Callithrix jacchus: one gene and its partner. The protein of the gene in region 1 purifies or fractionates together with the protein of each later gene. This does not show direct contact. Links are inferred from orthologs where the notes say so. Each region holds a gene or a part of one and is shown in the gene's direction. Other genes may lie near its edges. The genes, in order: STK35 and C7H1orf174.

Region 1 (4,523 bases):
TAGGTAATGTGGGGCGGGGGGGGGGGGGGGGGGAAGTGCATACTCTGCATGTAATCATAAGAAAACATTAAAATCAAAATTTAGGGACATTCTATAATATAACTCACCAGTACTCTTCCAAAATGTCAAGGTCATGAAAGACGAAGGCTGGATAACTGCCCTTCCAGGTTAAAGGAAACTAAAGAGGTATGACAAGTCAATGAAACGTGTGATCCTGAATTGCATCCTGGGGAATAGCTATAAAGAACATGATTGAGACAATTAGCAAAATTTAAATATGGATGGAGTGTATTAAATAACACAATTGTATCATTGTTAAAATTCCTGACTTTTGATCACTGTACTGAGATTATGCAAGATAATGCCTTTTTTAAAGGAAAGACATATAAATATTTGGAATAAAGAAGCTTGTTGGAAACTCTAAAATGATGTCCTAAAATATATATATATACATTATATAAGTGTGAGTGTGTGTGTGTGTGTGAATATCTATATACCATATACTGATTCCCTTTCTTTTCAGGTATAAACCATATGGATATCTACACACAATATATGTGTGTGTGTGTGTAAGATACGGAAATGCAGCAAAATATAACAATTTGTTATTCTGGTAAAAAAGTATATGATCTTTATGATTCTTGAAATTTATGTGTAAATTTGAAATTTAATCACAAAAACATTAGAGGCTTTCAGCGACTAAATACACTATCAGATATAGCCTGTCCCCAACGAGCACTCTTTAGCTCATTCTTCTTCTCCATCACACTTATCAATGGCAAAAATTATCCTTTAATACTTAACATTGACTGTGTGTAAGGCTGTCCTAAGTGCTTTATCTGGATAACCTCTGTGAATCTTCTTACAGGTGAGGTAAAAACCCACAAGAAAGTTGATTAACTTGCCCAAGGCCACCCATGTGGTTTGTCTCCTGCAGTGACACAGAACCTCAACCAAGGCAGAAACTGCCTTGTCTACTTCTCTTTCCCCAGAGACTTAAAACGGTGCCTAGCACATTACAGGTGTTCAATAGATAACGGTAGATTCAGTTAACACTGGGCACCCACTAGGCCTACACTGTAATACAAAGTACAGAACAAAATACTCAAAAATCTGTGCTTAAATGGAGCTTTGAGTATTAACTCAGCCCCACACCCAATTAGCCTCTATCTATGTATTTCATTTGGTTCTATTGTTCCTGAGAATTAAGGCCCATTTAATCCATTTAGCAGAGGATCATCAGATAAACGATGCTCAGGTTGTGGCAATGATTTGCACAAGATTACTGGGCTGGTAGAAGGGAAGGTCAGGATTCCAACCCACTCCCTAACGTTCCCAGACCGAGTTATGAATCAAAAAACCAAGACAATCACCCTATCAGTATTTATTAAGCGCCTACTGCGTACGGTTGGTCTTCACGCAGGTCAGGCGAGGAGAAGGGGTCGCGGTGCGCGGGCCGCCGCGGATCACGGGAATTTGGCGCCTATTTTTTGTTGGCTGGGTGTTCTCGCCGGTGATTGGGCCCCGGCGAGGCGTGCTGGTGCGCTCTGCTGCGGCTGCTCCGTCGACCTTGGCAGGACCAGGCGGCGCAGGACTCACTCGGCTGGCCTCCCAGGGGATGGGCCACCAGGAGTCTCCGCTGGCCCGGGCGTCGGCGGGAGGTGCAGCTTATGTAAAGAGGTTATGTAAAGGGCTCAGCTGGCGGGAACACGTGGAAAGCCACGGGAGCCTGGGAGCCCAGGCCTCCCCAGCGAGCGCCGCGGCAGCAGAAGCACCCGCCACACGCCGGGCTCGGGCCACCACCTCCCGCGCAGCTCGGTCACGGAGGCAGCCTCATCGCGGAGCGGACCATCCCCAGACAGGGGCTCCAGGAGTGAAACGGACAGCCCGGAAGCGGAGGTGCGCGGGCCAGGTAAGGGTACTGTTCGAGGACTGAAGAGCCAGCACCGAGGATGGAGTTACTGCCACTGCCTCCGCGCTCGGGGAGGGCAATCGGATTCCTCGGCCGGTCGCGCTCCGAGACACGGAACTTTTTAGCCAATCTCTTCTACCCGCCGCCCTAGGGGACTTGGGTCGGTCCGCCGGGCTCCGCTAGGGCTTAATTCAATGGACTGTTTACACCCGGGCGAACACAAGGTGGGGCGCGGGGAGGGGCGTCACGGAGGGGTACGGGCAAAGAAAAAGTTTTCCGCCGGCCGAATCGCATCTTAAGGCGGTTTTCAGAAGGCGTTAAGCTTTCTGTGTGTTCTTTTTCTTATCGCTACACGACAAACTAACAGAGAAAGGGGAGAGTTTGTGCTTTTCTTTCCGGTTCTCCCTCTGAGCCGCTGCCCAGTGGTTCCGTCTTTCCCGCTTTCCCCTCCCCTCCCCCGTTCAATCAGCGGCTGTGGCTTCCGTCTTAAAGGGGCCGCGGCGGCCGGGGGAGGAGGAGGTGGGGCGCTCCGCGGCCTACTCTCCTGGCCTCCCCGCCTCGGCCTGGTCGTTTAACCGATTCTTTGGCCTGCAGGTCACAATCCAAGGTCCCGCTCCTCCGCGTCCCGGGGCCGGACGAAGGGATGAGGCAGGGGGGGCCCGGGCAGCGCCGTTGCTGCTCCCCCCGCCGCCCGCAGCCATGGAAACGGGAAAGGACGGCGCCCGCAGAGGTACACAAAGCCCGGAGCGGAAAAGGCGAAGCCCAGTGCCGCGGGCGCCCAGCACGAAGCTGAGGCCAGTGGCGGCGGCCCAGGCCATGGATCCGGTGGCGACCGAGGCCCCGGGCGAGGCCTACCTGGCGCGGCGATGGCCAGAGGGCGGTGGCGGGTCCGCTCGGCCGCGCTACAGTCTGTTGGCGGAGATCGGGCGCGGCAGCTACGGCGTGGTTTACGAGGCAGTGGCCGGGCGCAGCGGGGCCCGAGTGGCGGTCAAGAAGATCCGCTGCGACGCCCCCGAGAACGTGGAGCTAGCTCTGGCTGAATTCTGGGCCCTCACCAGCCTCAAGCGGCGCCACCAAAACGTCGTGCAGTTTGAGGAGTGCGTCCTGCAGCGCAACGGGCTAGCGCAGCGCATGAGTCACGGCAATAAGAGCTCGCAGCTTTACCTGCGCCTGGTGGAGACCTCACTGAAAGGTAGGAGCACCGCCGTCCTTTCCACATTTGCAAGGCCTGGGTCCGCGCCTCTCCGGACGGTTTGGCACACATTGTTCCCGGCCCCCCTAGGCCTCAGACCTGGTTCCTGTCACCCTGTGCCCGGACACACCCTCCTTTTCTAGGCACAGGAATTCGGCCCTCTTTTCAGGTCCCAGGATCAGTTTCTGGGCCTAACGTTGGCTGATATTTTAATAACAAGAGCTTAAGTGCAAACCATTAACTTAATAGGTGCTCAGTAATTGTGAGCTATGGTGATTAAATGCCTACTACCTTTTTAGATCGGTCAGGGAGTGGAGGAGGTGTTGGGTTCAGTTAGTAGCAGAACTGCGGAGCCCACTCACCCTCTAGGGCCTCTCTCTTTCCCTCCCAAAACGAACAAAAAGAAAAAACTTCACTGGACCCATCCACACCCTCTCCCTGTGTGGTTCCAAGTTTCCTAACACCCTCCAGCTCCCACACCCAAACTCTTGTGGCCTCCTACTCTGCCTTTTCCTCTGAGGCCCCCAGTCCTTCATCCCAGGCAGCCAAGCAAACTGGCGGTTTTCTTGCTTGGTCCTCCGAGGCATGCAGGCTGACAGCCCTCACAGGTGGCCTGAGAGCTGTCACATAACAAAGCATTCAACATCTTTTCCCTTTGTTTTACAATCTTAATCTTTTTCTTAACCTCAGAGGCTGGCTGGGAAGTGGTTTTACTTAGAAGGAAAATGGGGTTCATTGAGGCAAGTGGTCTTCAAGTCCTGGAAGAACTAATTACCTTAATTTCCCGGTTTTGACTGCCGTTAGGGACCGTGTTCATCCTAAATACTCGGTACCCACAAGCCTTGTTCCTACTACTGCTGTTAGCTAGGTGTCTTCACGGAGAGGAGGAGAGGGACATTGGAAAGTTTGAGGAGACTTTCTGAGGCAGGAGGATCCAGGGGAAGAAAGTTGACTAATCCGAGGCCCAGCTGTGGTCTTAGCGCTGAAGTAATTTTTAGGTAATAACTTCAAAAGTAAATTCTGTCCTCTTTCTATAAATAGAGAAACTAGGCTTAGAAGTGAACAAATAACTTGATCAGGGTTAATCTGCTTGAAAGGGAAGTTTGACTATGCTCCTGGTTTCCTTAAGTTTCTCAGAGCTTAAGTGATGGGGAACCCAGATCTGTCTTGATTCAAGGCCTGGGTCCTTTCAAAGGTGTAATGCTGTTCTCCCTACCCTGAGGATGAACTTTTAAGAATGGGTAGGATTTGGGGTGAGTTTGGAGGGGGTGGTCTCCTAAAATCTTCTTTGGGGCTTTTGCCCAACTTTAAGATTCCCCAAGCCTTTCCCAAGAGAACACTTTTTATTCCATTGCAAGTCAGTTGTTTGACGGTGGAATTGGAAACATGAATCAGTATCACCTAAATCCCTTTAAATAG
Region 2 (4,317 bases), on another chromosome or scaffold:
CCTGGCAAGGTGGCTCACGCCTATAATCCCAGCACTTTGGGAGGCCGAGGCGGGTGGATCACGAGGTCAGGAGTTCAAGACCAGCCTGAACATGGTGAAATATGGTGAAACCCTGTCTCTACTAAAAATACAAAAATTAGCCAGGCGTGGTGAGGCACGCCTGTAACCCCAGCTACTCAGAAGGCTGAGGCAGAGAACTGCTTGAACCCAGAGGCGGAGGTTGTAGTGAGCCAAGATGTCGCCACTGCACTCCAGCCTGGGCGACAGCGAGACTCCACATCTCAAAAACACACACACAGACACACACATACAAAATAAAACAAAAGAAAAACAGCGGTCCTCAGCTTTATAAACACCTCCCTTAGCTGATGGAAAGGCCAGGATGTCAAGGGGCAGCCGAGGAGGACACATCAGCAGCCCAGGCCTGATACGGACGAGTCAGATGGAGGAGGCGTGGCCGCTGTGTGTCCGTCAAGACCTGCTAGAGGCATGCCCACTGGAGGAGGCGTGGCCGCTAAGGGTCCACCTCGGCCCCGGGAGAAACGGGGCGGCGGTGGGGTCAGTTCCTGCCTTGCAAGTGAGGGGGGTGAGGTCCAGGCCCCCAGCCCCACGCCGGACCCTGGCCTTCTGGGCCCACCGACAGCCTCTACTAAGGCCCGCGACGTGGGGGATAGCAGAAGCCACTTCCCAGGCGGGCCACTCCAGCCCAAAGCGGCATGTTGCGGGGCAGCACAGGCCTGGGGAATCCCTCGCGCTGTTCAACGCCGCTCACCGGCGCTCAGAAACCAGCGCTCTGCGGCACTGGAGAAACCACTGCCCACCCTCCTACAGGGTCGTGGCCAGGGGCTGGAAGGTGAGGGACCCCTTGTGGACGCCTCTCCCGCCCCTCTCAAACATGGCGGCCACAGGTGCACCAAGGCGTCCCTCACAAACATGGCCGCCCGCCCTCAACCATGGCGGCCAAAGACGCTTCAAAAGGAAGCGCCCCTCACGAACATAGTTGCCCACCCCTCTCAAACATGGCGGCCACAAACGCAAAAAAAGAAGCGCCCCTTACAAACATGGCCGTCTGCCCCCCTCAAATATGGTGGCCAAAGAGGCTTCAAGGGAAACGCCCCTCAAAAACATGGTTGCTCACCCCTCTCAAACATGGCGGCAACAGGTGCACCAAAAGAAGCCCATGAACATGGCCGTCCGCCCCCTTCAAATATAGCATAGACGCTACAAGAAACGGCTCCCTTAAACATAACCTCCCAGCCCTGCCACGGGTGTGGGAAACATGGCGGCTACAGGGCTGCCAACGGACGCGCGCCACACGAACAATGCCGGGCACAGGCCGACTTAGAGCTCCAGCGTCCCATCACTGGCCCAAAGCCTGTGAGCTGCGCGCGCCGCTTACGTAAGCAACAACTGTGGCGTCACATGACAAAGGCGCTGCCCTGTGATTGGCTGTGCTGACGTCGGTGACCGCCGCGGCGCGCTCTGCGGACTCCGCATTGCTGTTCAGCCGGAACGCGTTGGGCTGGGGGGCGCGGGACTTGGCGGCGGTGCTTACTCATGAGGAGCCGGAAGGTGAGGGCTGGGGCCCGGCAGCAGCTGCACTGGGCAGCGTGGTGGGGGGGCTCCGGGCCACCCGCTGTCTGGAGAGCCGTGGCAGTGTCACGGGGTGCCTGTGTTCTAGGAGCGGCCTCCGCTTGGGCCTCGTCCCCGGGAGTCGGGAGGCTCCCAGGTCACGCCCCCGGGAGTCGGGAGGCTCCCAGGCTGCGCCCGGGGAGAAGTAAAGCGCTGAGGCCACGCCTCCGGGAGAACGGGGGATGCGGGCCATGCCCGTGGGACAAGTGGAGCTCACCCGGGAAAAGAGGGCTCCCAGGTCACCCCCGCACCCGGAGAAGGGGGGCTCTGGGACACGCCCTGGGAGAAGGGGACTCCCAGGTCACGCCCCCTTGAAGGGAGGCTTCAGACCACTTTCCCAGGAAGGTAGGGTGCCCCCTTCAGAACTGTTTTCAACTCCTGGCAGTGCTGGATGCCTTAGAGCAGAGTTTGTGCCCCTCAACTGCTGCCACTCCAGTGGAGGTCACACAGCATGTGACCTCAGCTTGGCCCCAGCTACTTAATATGCAAAAAAATGGGGTGATGAGGGATCCATCCAGAGGGGGGTGCCAGTGTCTGGGAAGGGGCAAATGCTCACTGCGTGGGTAACGATTAAGGTGAAGGACCCTTTTCACAGTGGACCCGGACCCGGACCTGGGCTGGAACCTCTTGGGAGGCTCTGAGCTGCATCCCGGCTCTCCTGGTTTGTTCAAATGGAGTGGGCACTTGTGAATTCCAACTCCTTTTACTATTTTTATCTTTGAACCAGAATGTGTCTCCTATAGGCAGCGTATACTTGGATATTTTTAAAAATCCAGTCTGGTGGTCTCTGTAGTTAGGTTTACATAGGCTATTGTACTTTTTCTTTTCTTTACACAAGTCTGTCTTTTTCTTCCCCTGTTCCTTTAAGTGGATTAAAGTGAATATTTCCTAACGTAGCATTTTCATAAATTTTTTTAACTATATTTTTGGGTTTTTTTCCAATGCTTGCTCTGTGTTTTACCATGTATATCTTAATCAGCTTCATATTTGTACTAGGTCAATTCCAAGTGATACAGAAATGTTACTCGTATATGGTTATGTTTGGGGTATTTTGTTATGTGTATTTCGTCTGTTGATGTTACAAACTCAGCATACTCTGTTATAATTATTATTATCTGTGGTCATTTCCTTAGACCTATAGGGCTTTGCTTTCACCCACTTTGTTTTGTTATTGGCAAATTTAGTACATGTCTGTATAATTACATACGTATTATTGCATACAATTGCTTTCAAAATTAGTTGAGAGAAGGAGATAGAAAAATAAGCATTTACACCATCTTTTTAAGAACATAATTACTTTTACTGGTGGGGTGTGTGTGTGTGGAGGGGGGTTGAATTACTGTCTGGGGTCACTTGATTTCAGTCTAACTTCCTTTAGTATTTCTTGTAAAGAGAGTTTTTTTTGTTCGAGTTGAGTCTCGCTCTGTTGCCTGGCTGGAGTGCAGAGGCACAATCTCGGCTCACTGCAGTCTCTGCCTCCTGGGTTCAAGTGATTCTCCTGCCTCAGCCTCTGGAATGGCTGGGATTACAGGTGCCCACCACCGCACTAGCTGATTTTTGTATTTTTACTAGAGATGGGGTTTCATCATGTTGGCCAAGCTGGGTCTCAAACTCCTGACCTCAGGTCATCTACCTGCCTCAGCCTCCCAGAGCTCTGGGATTACAAGCATAAGCCATCACTCCCAGCCCGTTTTTGAAGTATAGCTTTCCTAGATACAGGTCCCAGTTTGTTTGTTTGTTTGTTTGTTTGTTTGTTTGTTTGTTTGTTTGTTTGTTTGTAATGGAATCTTGTTACCCAGGCTGGAGTACAGTGGTGTGATCTCAGCTCACCGCAACCTCCACCTCCCAGGTTCAAGCTATTCTCCAGCCTCAGCCTCCTGAGTAGCTGAGACTACAGGTGCATACCACCAAGCCCAGCTAATTTTTTGTATTTTTAATAGAGACAGGGTTTCACTGTGTTCGCAAGGATAGTCTCGATCTCCTGACCTCGTGATCCGCCCGCCCGGCCTCCCAAAGTGCTGGGATTTCAGGTGTGAGCCACTACACCTGGCTGTTAGTTTGTTTGTTTGTTTTTGAGCATTTTGAATATGTTTGAATATTCTCCATTGTTTCAGCTGAGAAGTCAGTCCTGCATTTACTGAGGTTGCCTTCTGAGTGGCTTCCTTCTTGCGGCTTTCAAGATTTTATTCTTTCGTGGCTTTCAAGAGTTTGCCCTTGGTCTTTGTAATTTTACGGTGACGTATCTGTGGATCTCTTTACTTGTTCGGTTCATTCAGATTCCTGGATATGTAGATTGATGTTTTTCTGTAAATTTGGGGAGTTCTCAGCCATTATTTCTTGGAATCTTTTTTCTGCTCCTTCCTGTCTGCATTCTTTGTGGTTCTTATTACACATGTGTTAGTGTGCTTAATGCTGTCCAACATTTCTCTGAGGCTCTCTTCATTGTTCTTCATTCTTTTCTTCTCTCTGTTCCTCAGCGGGCATAATCTCTCCATCCAGCTTGTTTGCTTATTCTACCAGTTCATATTTACTATTGGGCCCTCCCAGTGAATTTTTTTATTTCAGTTTTTAGACTTTTCTACTCCAGAATTTCTATTTGATTTTTAAGTAATTTTTCTTTATTGATCATTTGTTTGATGCAACATTATCTTTCTTCTTTTTTCTTGATTTTGATTTTGTTTATAA

Evidence for each region.
Region 2: the proteins of STK35 (region 1) and C7H1orf174 purify together in Homo sapiens (affinity purification with mass spectrometry; 3 studies listed by BioGRID and IntAct, counting the BioPlex papers as one, with this or other methods). This does not show direct contact. The link is inferred for Callithrix jacchus from reciprocal best matches to the Homo sapiens genes STK35 and C1orf174.

What each region holds. Positions count from the first base shown.
Region 1 is NC_133506.1:9,683,307-9,687,829, forward strand, and holds the start of STK35 (serine/threonine-protein kinase 35), read left to right. Parts: upstream 1-1,563; 5' UTR 1,564-1,618; coding exon 1,619-1,912; intron 1,913-2,506; coding exon 2,507-3,104; intron 3,105-4,523.
Region 2 is NC_133508.1:41,772,532-41,776,848, reverse strand, and holds the start of C7H1orf174 (UPF0688 protein C1orf174 homolog), read left to right. Parts: upstream 1-1,493; 5' UTR 1,494-1,557; coding exon 1,558-1,572; intron 1,573-4,317.